Linked DNA regions of Saccharomyces cerevisiae S288C. The protein of the gene in region 1 purifies or fractionates together with the protein of each later gene. This does not show direct contact. Each region holds a gene or a part of one and is shown in the gene's direction. Other genes may lie near its edges.

What was found.
Region 2: the proteins of COR1 (region 1) and RCF1 purify together in Saccharomyces cerevisiae (affinity purification with western blotting; 4 studies listed by BioGRID, with this or other methods). This does not show direct contact.
Region 3: the proteins of COR1 (region 1) and RCF2 purify together in Saccharomyces cerevisiae (affinity purification with western blotting; 5 studies listed by BioGRID, with this or other methods). This does not show direct contact.
Region 4: the proteins of COR1 (region 1) and COX2 purify together in Saccharomyces cerevisiae (affinity purification with western blotting; 8 studies listed by BioGRID, with this or other methods). This does not show direct contact.

Annotation. Positions count from the first base shown.
Region 1 is NC_001134.8:133,643-137,135, reverse strand, and holds COR1 (ubiquinol--cytochrome-c reductase subunit COR1), read left to right. Parts: upstream 1-1,619; coding exon 1,620-2,993; downstream 2,994-3,493. Other genes in the region: ECM13 (Ecm13p), read right to left, coding at 1-448; YBL044W (uncharacterized protein), read right to left, coding at 770-1,138; PSY4 (Psy4p), read right to left, coding at 3,387-3,493. UniProt on the Saccharomyces cerevisiae protein: Component of the ubiquinol-cytochrome c oxidoreductase, a multisubunit transmembrane complex that is part of the mitochondrial electron transport chain which drives oxidative phosphorylation.
Region 2 is NC_001145.3:214,561-217,414, forward strand, and holds RCF1 (respiratory supercomplex assembly factor RCF1), read left to right. Parts: upstream 1-1,874; coding exon 1,875-2,354; downstream 2,355-2,854. Other genes in the region: NDC1 (Ndc1p), read left to right, coding at 1-1,596; USA1 (Usa1p), read left to right, coding at 2,802-2,854. UniProt on the Saccharomyces cerevisiae protein: Assembly factor that plays a role in the assembly of the respiratory chain supercomplexes (SCs) composed of ubiquinol-cytochrome c oxidoreductase (cytochrome b-c1 complex, complex III, CIII) and cytochrome c oxidase (complex IV, CIV).
Region 3 is NC_001146.8:662,272-665,446, forward strand, and holds RCF2 (Rcf2p), read left to right. Parts: upstream 1-1,998; coding exon 1,999-2,673; downstream 2,674-3,175. Other genes in the region: protein transporter TIM23, read left to right, coding at 642-1,310; ARE2 (sterol acyltransferase), read left to right, coding at 3,068-3,175. UniProt on the Saccharomyces cerevisiae protein: Assembly factor that plays a role in the assembly of the respiratory chain supercomplexes (SCs) composed of ubiquinol-cytochrome c oxidoreductase (cytochrome b-c1 complex, complex III, CIII) and cytochrome c oxidase (complex IV, CIV).
Region 4 is NC_001224.1:72,252-75,017, forward strand, and holds COX2 (cytochrome c oxidase subunit 2), read left to right. Parts: upstream 1-1,506; coding exon 1,507-2,262; downstream 2,263-2,766. Other genes in the region: Q0255 (maturase-like protein), read left to right, coding at 2,244-2,766. UniProt on the Saccharomyces cerevisiae protein: Component of the cytochrome c oxidase, the last enzyme in the mitochondrial electron transport chain which drives oxidative phosphorylation.

The DNA of each region.
Region 1 (3,493 bases):
TGTTATAATCACCGCCAGAGTAATCGTACTCAAAATCATAGTCTTCATAATCATCATCGTCTTCACTGTCAGTAGAAGATAGAGTGTCAGCATCTGGATCTTCGTCACTAGAGTAAAAATCACAGTAATCTTCACTTTCTATCGTCTTTTCTGCATTTTCCTCCTTACCGACGTCATTTTTACTAGCATTAGCATTGGACAATTCGATATGTTCGATGGACAAGTTTTCAGGTCCTTTACTGAAAGGGTCTCCGGCAAGGGCGTTGGTTGCAGCATTATGAGTTTCCACATTTTCTGTAATCTTATCCAGCAAGTTTGCGTGCCCGACTAAAACTCTCAGGTTGTAGTCTTTGTTTTTAGTAGTCACGCTAACGCATTTTGCCAGCTTGGAGCGTACTTTGCTGGCCAAAATATATTGATCTTGAATCGATGGGGTTGTAGAGTTCATTATAATCGCAGTATGCGGAATTTTCTATGTGAGAAAAACAATAAATAATTGTGAAAAAACTTGGATGTATAGTGTAATACTATAAAAAATTTCTGCTGGTATGTAGCTGTCTTTTTATTTTTTCTTTGGTCATACAGGGCTGTAAGCAGAGAAAGTCGAACAAAGACGTAACACCAGAGAAAGAAACTTGAATGCTTTTGTTAGATATATATATATATATTTATACATATGCCTCTCGCTAGAGGATATATCGCCGCGGAGCGCAGCGAACTACATCCGAAAACATCACAAATAATGCATGGGCAACCGGATACATTGCATTTAGTTTTGCCTTTTTTTCCAATTGTCACAGCTTCCTCGAAGTTTCTGACCCGGTAAAACGTGCGAAATGCCTCTTCTAATGCCGAAACAAGGGAAACCCTTAAAGCTTCCGTGCAAGCTGACCATGCCGGTCCGCACTTCGGGTCTTGTCCGTCGCCCGTGATCCAATAGGATACAACTACAAATCTGGGGTAAAGTCCGACTTTCGGCCCGCCGTGCGTTACTGCATGTTACATCACTATGGTGGGGACGGAAAATCACAGATGAGTCAGCTTCGTGATTTCCTGTTTCGGTGATGCTTGCAGTATACTTCAAATACTTCGCTTTACTTGGCAACCTTTTTTTTTGCCTCTCTAGCATTTCACCCATACCCACCAGGGGGAAAAAGAAAAGAGAGATTTTAAAACCAGATATTCTTTTTCACGATTTACATAACCCGGACTGGGTAGGGTAACATGTATATGAACTTTAACTGTGACCCGGACAGCACGCTTTCTGCACCAATGAAATGCCAATAAATTAACAGTGTTTTTTGTCCTCCAGAAGTTCAAGGGCCCGCGCTGTCAGCTGCACCAAATAAAAACCAAACAAGAAAATTAAAGGCCTACAGCGCTCCCTAACCGATATTCCCCTACTCTCTTTCCCCGTCTTATTCGAGGAAAACAGCGTATAATAAAGCAATAGCTTTCACAGAAAAAATATTATATCATCCCTGTTCGTATAGGTAACGAATCCTAATATTAAATTGCTACCATTGCTGATCAAGACAATTGTGGAGTAATAATACGAGAAGAACATCATCGTCACCATATCACTGAGAAAGAAAACACAAGATATATAAACAAAAAAAATGCTAAGAACAGTAACTTCAAAGACTGTATCTAACCAGTTCAAGAGGTCTTTGGCTACAGCTGTAGCAACCCCCAAGGCCGAAGTAACGCAATTATCTAACGGTATAGTTGTAGCCACTGAGCATAATCCTTCCGCTCACACAGCCTCTGTCGGTGTTGTCTTCGGCTCCGGTGCTGCCAACGAAAACCCTTATAACAACGGGGTTTCCAATTTATGGAAGAACATCTTTCTATCCAAAGAAAACTCTGCTGTTGCCGCCAAGGAAGGTTTGGCATTGTCTTCCAATATCTCCAGAGACTTCCAATCTTACATTGTATCTTCTTTGCCAGGTTCTACCGATAAATCACTAGACTTCTTGAATCAGTCTTTCATCCAACAAAAGGCTAATTTGCTATCTTCTTCTAACTTCGAGGCCACGAAGAAATCTGTCTTGAAGCAAGTTCAAGATTTTGAAGAAAACGACCATCCCAACAGAGTTTTGGAACATTTACACTCCACCGCCTTCCAAAACACTCCATTATCTTTGCCTACTAGAGGTACTTTGGAGTCCTTGGAGAATTTAGTTGTTGCTGATCTGGAATCTTTTGCCAATAACCATTTCTTGAATTCAAATGCTGTTGTTGTTGGTACCGGTAATATCAAACATGAGGATTTAGTAAATTCCATCGAATCCAAAAACCTAAGTTTGCAAACCGGTACCAAGCCCGTACTCAAGAAAAAGGCCGCTTTCTTGGGTTCCGAAGTTAGATTGAGAGACGACACCTTGCCAAAGGCGTGGATTTCGCTGGCTGTGGAAGGTGAACCTGTCAATTCACCAAATTATTTTGTTGCTAAATTAGCCGCCCAAATTTTCGGCTCATACAACGCCTTCGAACCCGCTTCTAGATTACAAGGTATCAAATTGTTAGACAACATACAGGAGTACCAATTATGCGACAATTTCAATCATTTCTCTCTTTCTTACAAAGATTCCGGTTTATGGGGGTTCTCTACGGCCACGAGAAACGTTACCATGATTGACGACCTCATCCATTTCACTTTGAAACAATGGAACAGATTGACCATTTCTGTCACTGATACTGAAGTTGAACGTGCCAAATCGCTGTTGAAATTACAATTAGGGCAGTTATACGAATCTGGTAATCCCGTCAATGACGCTAACTTGTTAGGCGCAGAAGTCCTAATCAAGGGCTCCAAACTGTCTCTGGGTGAGGCTTTCAAGAAAATTGATGCAATCACAGTCAAAGATGTTAAGGCTTGGGCCGGTAAGAGATTATGGGACCAAGATATTGCTATTGCTGGTACAGGCCAAATTGAAGGGTTATTAGATTACATGAGAATCAGAAGTGACATGTCCATGATGAGATGGTAAGATGTGTGATAATATATTTTCCATGCACATAAAATAGAAATAAGCAAGCTGCTAGATGTATACAGGCACGCTCGCACACTCACACCATAAATGAATTTTTTACATGTATTTTATATTCTAGTAACCCAAGTAGTCTTCATTATTTATTGGCAAGGTCACTGTTCCTTGCAAAAGTAGAAAATAAAAAAAGAAAAAAAAAGAAACTCGTAAGAAAACAAGATTAAATAAACGTCTTATTTTATATAAGTGTATATATATATATATATATATATGTGACCAAGATCCTGAAGAACTATCGATTTTAAAAATAAGAAAGATGAACTTTTTTTTGGTAAAACATATTTAATGATATTATGCAAATGGGAAGTTGTTGGTAGAGAAGTCATCTCTCGATCATCTGGACTTCTTGCCTAATGGACTGCTAATATTCTCACGGTAGGTAATACCAGCAATCGCAACCATCTTATCCTCTTGTGAAGAGCTCATCGATGGACTCACTA
Region 2 (2,854 bases), on another chromosome or scaffold:
GTACTGGGTGTGGTTTTCGGACGTGGCGGATCTGGATGGAAGCCATACTATAAGCTGTTTATTTGGCTAGTCGTTCCCACGATTTACAACCTACAACATCATGTCACTGACGCTGACAAATTGTCGTTCAACTGCGAAAACTTTTTCCAGGCCCCACAAGACTACGTATTAGAGCGTGTCAAGAGGATTATGGAGAAGTCAGTCATTCTAAGTGTAATCAGCATGTTCGTATTACCAATCTTTACCACAGTATTTTTTTCCAGGCAAAAATCGGGATTATTTGATTCATTTACGAATGGCGTGCTAGCTGTCACAAATTTACTAATAATCTCCTGCATTATCTTCATCACTTTCGAATTCATAAATATAGCATTTGACGCACATATGTCCATAGGTTGTCTGCACAAGGGCAAGCTAATTTCGAATTTGTCGTCGACGCCGATGGAAACCCTGCTTAGTGGGCTTTCTGCAGACAAGCCATTTACTAGGTTGACTGCCTACCAGGAACTAGCGTATAGGGCCACTTCACTGGATCCATCATTGCGAGCACCAATATATCACTCCAAGTTCAGAAGCAGTAGTGGTAATACTTGGTCATTAATCCTCAATGAATGCTTGAAGACCATTCAGATAAACAATGAAAAGGTTGTGCAGTACCTAAGATCAGTACAAGATCTTGGGGGCTCTGCAACTGCTAGACATAAAAAAAAAGTAGAAAATCTAGATTATATGTATGAGAACGGGAAACTAACAAGCGCCAACGAAAGACTCTTTGGGAACCGACCCTCTATGATGGCGCCATTACGGGATAACGGCTTATTAGATGAATCACCAAACAGGCTGAGGGTAAGAACTGACGATAGTGTATTGCTTAACCGCGGAAACAAGAAAAGGCATAGGTCCTCGTATTACGACAACGATTTAGATGAAACGACACAAACTTTTAACGGCTCTATTTTCACCCACGAAACAACATTTATGACCGCTATGCGTCTGATGTTAAAAAAACTGAAAAATTCTATAATGTCGTTTATTTTCCCTTCCTACGCAGAAAGACAATCATCTGATGAAAGCGACAATTACAGACTATTACCAAATGGCTCCAACAAAGCCCAAATCTCGATAATTGACATATGGTCCATTTCCAAGAAAAGGCAAGCTGAGAAGCTGGTTCCATTGCCCATATGCCACGCAAATAGTGTGGTAGCACTGACAGGACTGCTGATCCGATCAAAGACAGAAGATCCAAAAGGCGGTATCATTGCATCCGTTGGGGATATTCTTAAGACTTTGGAGAGGTCCATCTGTGCACTGGGTGAATTTGCCGATTGGGATCCGGAATCGATGGCATACACTGCCTTCCAAACACAAAGGACAGCCCAAGATAGAGTACAACAAGACAGTGAAGACGAAGATAGCATGAAAGACACTACTGACATGATCAGTGTTCTTTATCAGCTGTCCACCAGTGCTTTTATGGAGATTGTACTTGAATACAATGTTGCTCTGAACGACGTATATTTGGATGCAGACGTGGCCAAGTTGGCGAACTGGTTTCTAGAAGTGTACGCCTCAGGCAACCCTAATGCTACGTAATACAATTCAACCGAGGAGCACCCCTCCTCCCATTTCATGTAAGATAAATACAATAATAAAAATTGGAATACCGCACAAATGCTTTAGTAGAGGCCTAATATGAGCAAAAAGAGCAAAAAGCTACCTTTATCGTTTCCGGGTAGCGAATCAAGGAGGGCCCTTTTATGCTTCAAGAATAATAGTAAAGAAAAGTATAGAGAAGAGGAAGCAATGCTTCCTATCGGAATTAATTCAATTCCTGGTACTAGAAGCGATAACATCACAGTTATACGTTCAAGATGTCACGCATGCCATCTAGTTTCGATGTTACGGAGAGGGATTTGGATGATATGACCTTTGGCGAAAGGATTATATACCATTGTAAGAAACAGCCATTGGTACCCATTGGGTGCTTGCTGACTACAGGAGCTGTCATTCTGGCTGCTCAAAATGTTCGTCTTGGTAATAAATGGAAAGCTCAGTACTACTTCCGTTGGCGTGTGGGTCTACAAGCGGCCACACTAGTCGCACTAGTCGCAGGTTCATTTATCTATGGGACTTCTGGTAAGGAACTGAAGGCGAAGGAGGAACAATTGAAGGAGAAAGCCAAGATGAGAGAAAAGTTATGGATCCAAGAGCTGGAGAGAAGGGAGGAAGAAACGGAGGCAAGGAGAAAAAGAGCCGAATTGGCAAGAATGAAGACCCTTGAGAACGAAGAGGAAATCAAGAACTTAGAAAAGGAACTAAGCGACCTGGAAAATAAGCTTGGAAAGAAGTAATTTGGCTCTTCGATTTGCTGTAAATAAATTATGATGAGAGACAAAAGAATGAACAGCTAATTTCGACTGTAATGAAGAAATGTAATAAAAAAATTCATGATGCTATGTCCAGTATTCAAGAAAAATAATTACAAAATAACAGCGTACATATGAATATTCTTTGTTTTTATCTTGTATAACTATCACTTAAAACATATTTATATCGATAGGTAAATGCTATATCAATCGCTCTATTTACTTGATTTTTAATATGTGGGTTTTTTTTTGCTTGACACATACGTAACGGTAATTGCCAGCTAACGATCGGTACAATTTTCAGAAAAATTGAAACAGAGAGAATCCACCAAATATTCAATTGCAAGGTGACGTACTTCAGATAAACACTTTATTGTACCATCTTAAGCGGCTATATAAAGTGTCATATACACCCTTCACCAAATACGCAACATGTCTGAATATCTAGCTCAGACGCCCTGCAAATTTACTATATGGTCAAGCGA
Region 3 (3,175 bases), on another chromosome or scaffold:
TCTTGTTCTTCTTGACGGATGATACTAGTCGCAGTCGTGGTGACTCTGGAGGGCGTAACGGCCGTGATGCGGCCTGAGCTCACTGTGACGTCGATGCATGCGCGGGTTCGTTGCGTTCAGGCCTGACGGGCGATTCCCCACCAAGTATAAGTGTCATGATATACGCGGCACCTGAGCAGCACATTAGGTCCCAATTCAACCCAACATATATAATGGTTCTGTATGGGTATTTTAAGTGTGCAAACAAAATGTGAGTTACCCGGCTGTTTGCTAGTCGCTGCGTACGAACTGGCTTGCTAAAGCTGGGTAAAAATAATTTAATCGCAAAAGGAAGAAAAGGAAATCGACGATTCATTGAAAAAAAGAGAAAATACTGAAAAAAAAAAGACACCGACAAAAAAAAGAGAGAAAGGAACCTTTACGTAGAGCAAAAGGGAAACATTTGTTGCGTTTAATTAATAGAAATAATAGGTTATTGCATTCGCCCTCCATTGCAGAAAAAAAAAAAAAAAAGACCATTTTCCTCTTCTACTCTCTTTGCCTGTACATACTACACGTTATAGCGTTAACAAAAGCAGATAGAAAAAAAAAAAATAACCAAGATAATATAGGTATACTTGTTTAACAGATCACACACAATCATGTCGTGGCTTTTTGGAGATAAGACACCTACCGATGATGCGAATGCTGCCGTGGGCGGCCAAGATACAACCAAGCCTAAGGAACTATCGTTGAAGCAGAGTTTAGGTTTCGAGCCAAACATCAATAACATAATATCAGGTCCTGGTGGAATGCATGTCGACACCGCTAGGCTGCATCCTTTGGCTGGTCTAGACAAGGGTGTGGAGTATTTAGATCTGGAAGAAGAACAACTATCCTCGTTAGAAGGCTCACAGGGTCTGATCCCTTCCCGTGGGTGGACCGATGACCTATGTTACGGTACCGGTGCCGTCTACCTGCTGGGACTTGGTATCGGAGGGTTTTCTGGTATGATGCAGGGTCTGCAGAATATTCCGCCCAATAGTCCCGGAAAATTGCAATTGAACACCGTCCTGAATCACATTACTAAGAGAGGTCCCTTCTTAGGTAATAATGCGGGGATTCTCGCGTTGAGCTACAATATCATCAATTCTACAATAGATGCACTAAGAGGCAAACATGACACCGCGGGCTCCATTGGCGCTGGGGCCCTCACGGGCGCTTTGTTCAAGTCTTCAAAAGGTTTGAAACCCATGGGTTATTCCTCGGCAATGGTGGCCGCTGCGTGCGCCGTCTGGTGTAGTGTCAAGAAAAGACTACTTGAAAAATGAGCAACACAAGAACCTACTCTCTCTCTCTCTTTCTCTCTCTCTCTCCCTCTTCGCTTTTCCCCCATGCACTGATGGCGCTTGTATATAGCATTTGAAAAATAATAGTACGTAACGCAGAAAACAAACCAATGAAAGTAGAAACCCGGAGAAAAGATCTAAAAAAACAAAAAAAAAAGATGGAAAGAGCGCATGTATGTGTAGATATGTACATATATACAACTACTTGTATGTTATTTGCCTTTTGTACTGTTAAGCTATTGTTTTCGATGGCCAATTAAAGTAAAACAAACCGCTCACTCTCGGGTATTTCCCGAAACTGTCAGAGCCGTCCCGGCCCACCGATTCGCCCGGCAAGACCTGCTTGGAAGCAGCACAAAGCCCTGCGGCCTCTGTACACCTCACGCTAAATAGCTGCTAACGATCAACACCTGACCGAGATAACAGCAGCAAAGAACCCGCAAAAAACTGCGCCGTCTAGGCCTCAACCCTTGCTTCCTACAACCAAACAATGGTAAAATATACAAAAAAAAGAAAAGAATGCTCTTTCTTATTTCCCTTTTAACCTAACCATCTTTTGTTTTTTGTCGTTTAACCTGGAAAGAATGTTCTATTATATAAACACTCTTTACTACGTCTTTAGCTTGAAAAAACTCTTGACAAGTGCACCGATACTCACCAACATCGCACAATGAAGATTTTAACCCAAGACGAAATTGAAGCTCATCGCTCACATACGCTAAAAGGTGGTATTGAAGGTGCCCTTGCCGGATTTGCAATCTCTGCTATAATTTTCAAAGTCCTACCAAGAAGGTACCCAAAATTCAAGCCTTCGACTCTAACATGGTCCATAAAAACCGCCCTTTGGATCACCCCTCCCACGGTCTTGACTGCTATATGTGCGGAGGAGGCCTCGAACAATTTCGACGCTACAATGTACGGATCCGGTTCCTCCTCGGAAGACGCACTAGATGAGCACAGAAGATGGAAGAGTTTGAGTACAAAGGACAAGTTTGTCGAAGGTCTATCTAATAACAAGTATAAGATCATCACCGGTGCCTGGGCCGCTTCGCTGTATGGGTCGTGGGTAATCGTGAACAAAGACCCCATCATGACCAAAGCTCAGAAGATCGTGCAGGCAAGAATGTACGCTCAATTCATTACCGTCGGGCTGCTGCTGGCCTCCGTTGGTTTGAGCATGTACGAGAATAAGTTACATCCTAACAAACAAAAGGTCAACGAAATGCGCCGCTGGGAAAACGCACTGAGGGTCGCCGAAGAGGAAGAGAGACTCGAGAAAGAGGGAAGAAGGACCGGCTACGTTTCTAACGAAGAAAGAATAAACTCCAAGATCTTCAAGTCGTAAACCTCGTCGGTTTATCTGCCTCAACTTTATTTCCGCTCCTCGTCTTTTATAAAATTCCTTTCATCAATACATCTATATATTCGAATATATAGATAAACCAATACAAAAACATACTGAAATTTTTTGAAAACAACTAAAACTATTCATTGCAGTTACACGTGAATGCTAAACTTTATATCGCTCTTGTCGGTCCCGCGGAGTTAACATTTAACGGCTTCTCGCGCAATAACCGGAAAAATTCCAACAGTTTCTTTGTAATATTATTAAGCCTTCTTTTTTCCCGGAATCTATAAGAGGGGACGAAAATTAGCCGCTATTAATTCTGGTATTGCCACCTAGACAAGAAGTAAACAGACACATTACGTTAGCAAAAGCAACAATAACAAACACAACCATGGACAAGAAGAAGGATCTACTGGAGAACGAACAATTTCTCCGCATCCAAAAGCTCAACGCTGCCGATGCGGGCAAAAGACAATCTATAACAGTGGACGACGAGGGC
Region 4 (2,766 bases), on another chromosome or scaffold:
ATAAATTTATAATTAGATAATATTTATATTTATTTATTTATTTAATTAACAAATATATTAATATTTTTAATTAATTAATAATACCTTTATATATATATATATATATATATTAATTTTAATTATATAATTATCTTTTTTATTAATAATTATAAATATATTATATATTTTATATAATAAGATTATAATTTTATAATTATTTTATTTTTTATTAAAAATTATTATTATTATAATTATTATATTATAATTATAAATTATTAAAGAATATATTTATTAATATTTTAATAATTAATATCTTTTATTTATATTTATAAAATAAGGTATAAATATTGATAATAAAGAGTAAATATTGTATTAATTATAATAATAATTATAATTAAGGAGCTTGTATAGTTTAATTGGTTAAAACATTTGTCTCATAAATAAATAATGTAAGGTTCAATTCCTTCTACAAGTAATAATGATTATAATATTTATATATATTAAAATAATATTAATAAATAATTACTCCTCCTAGCAGGATTCACATCTCCTTCGGCCGGACTCCTTCGGGGTCCGCCCCGCGGGGGCGGGCCGGACTATTTTATTATTATTAAATAGATGTTCATTAAATAATTATAAATATAATTTATCTTTTAAATATATATATATAATATAATATTTAAATATATATTATAAATAAATAAATAAATAATTAATTAATAAAAACATATAATGTATATTTATCTATAAAAAATATTAATTAAATTAATATATTATTACAGTTCCGGGGGCCGGCCACGGGAGCCGGAACCCCGAAGGAGATAAATAAATAAATAAATATAAATAATTCTTCTTCTTTAAAATTAAATAAAATAAAATAAAAAGGGGGGCGGACTCCTTCGGGGTCCCGCCCCCCTCCGCGGGGCGGACTATTTTATTTTTAAATATATATTATATTAATAATATAAATATAAGTCCCCGCCCCGGCGGGGACCCCGAAGGAGTATAAATAAAAATTAATAATATATTATATATATATTATATTAATAATAATAATAATAATAATAATAATAAATAATAACTCCTTGCTTCATACCTTTATAAATAAGGTAATCACTAATATATTATAATAATAAAAATTATATATATTATATATAATCTAAATATTATATATTTTAATAAATATTAATATATATGATATGAATATTATTAGTTTTTGGGAAGCGGGAATCCCGTAAGGAGTGAGGGACCCCTCCCTAACGGGAGGAGGACCGAAGGAGTTTTAGTATTTTTTTTTTTTTAATAAAATATATATTTATATGATTAATAATATTATATATATTATTTATAAAAATAATATATAATTTTAATTATTTTTAATAAAAAAAGGTGGGGTTGATAATATAATATAATATTTTTTATTTTAATTTATAATATATAATAATAAATTATAAATAAATTTTAATTAAAAGTAGTATTAACATATTATAAATAGACAAAAGAGTCTAAAGGTTAAGATTTATTAAAATGTTAGATTTATTAAGATTACAATTAACAACATTCATTATGAATGATGTACCAACACCTTATGCATGTTATTTTCAGGATTCAGCAACACCAAATCAAGAAGGTATTTTAGAATTACATGATAATATTATGTTTTATTTATTAGTTATTTTAGGTTTAGTATCTTGAATGTTATATACAATTGTTATAACATATTCAAAAAATCCTATTGCATATAAATATATTAAACATGGACAAACTATTGAAGTTATTTGAACAATTTTTCCAGCTGTAATTTTATTAATTATTGCTTTTCCTTCATTTATTTTATTATATTTATGTGATGAAGTTATTTCACCAGCTATAACTATTAAAGCTATTGGATATCAATGATATTGAAAATATGAATATTCAGATTTTATTAATGATAGTGGTGAAACTGTTGAATTTGAATCATATGTTATTCCTGATGAATTATTAGAAGAAGGTCAATTAAGATTATTAGATACTGATACTTCTATAGTTGTACCTGTAGATACACATATTAGATTCGTTGTAACAGCTGCTGATGTTATTCATGATTTTGCTATTCCAAGTTTAGGTATTAAAGTTGATGCTACTCCTGGTAGATTAAATCAAGTTTCTGCTTTAATTCAAAGAGAAGGTGTCTTCTATGGAGCATGTTCTGAGTTGTGTGGGACAGGTCATGCAAATATGCCAATTAAGATCGAAGCAGTATCATTACCTAAATTTTTGGAATGATTAAATGAACAATAATTAATATTTACTTATTATTAATATTTTTAATTATTAAAAATAATAATAATAATAATAATTATAATAATATTCTTAAATATAATAAAGATATAGATTTATATTCTATTCAATCACCTTATATTAAAAATATAAATATTATTAAAAGAGGTTATCATACTTCTTTAAATAATAAATTAATTATTGTTCAAAAAGATAATAAAAATAATAATAAGAATAATTTAGAAATAGATAATTTTTATAAATGATTAGTAGGATTTACAGATGGAGATGGTAGTTTTTATATTAAATTAAATGATAAAAAATATTTAAGATTTTTTTATGGTTTTAGAATACATATTGATGATAAAGCATGTTTAGAAAAGATTAGAAATATATTAAATATACCTTCTAATTTTGAAGAACTACTTAAAACAATTATATTAGTAAATTCACAAAAGAAATGGTTATATTCTAATATTGTAACTATTTTTGATAAGTATCCTTGTTTAACAATTAAATATTATA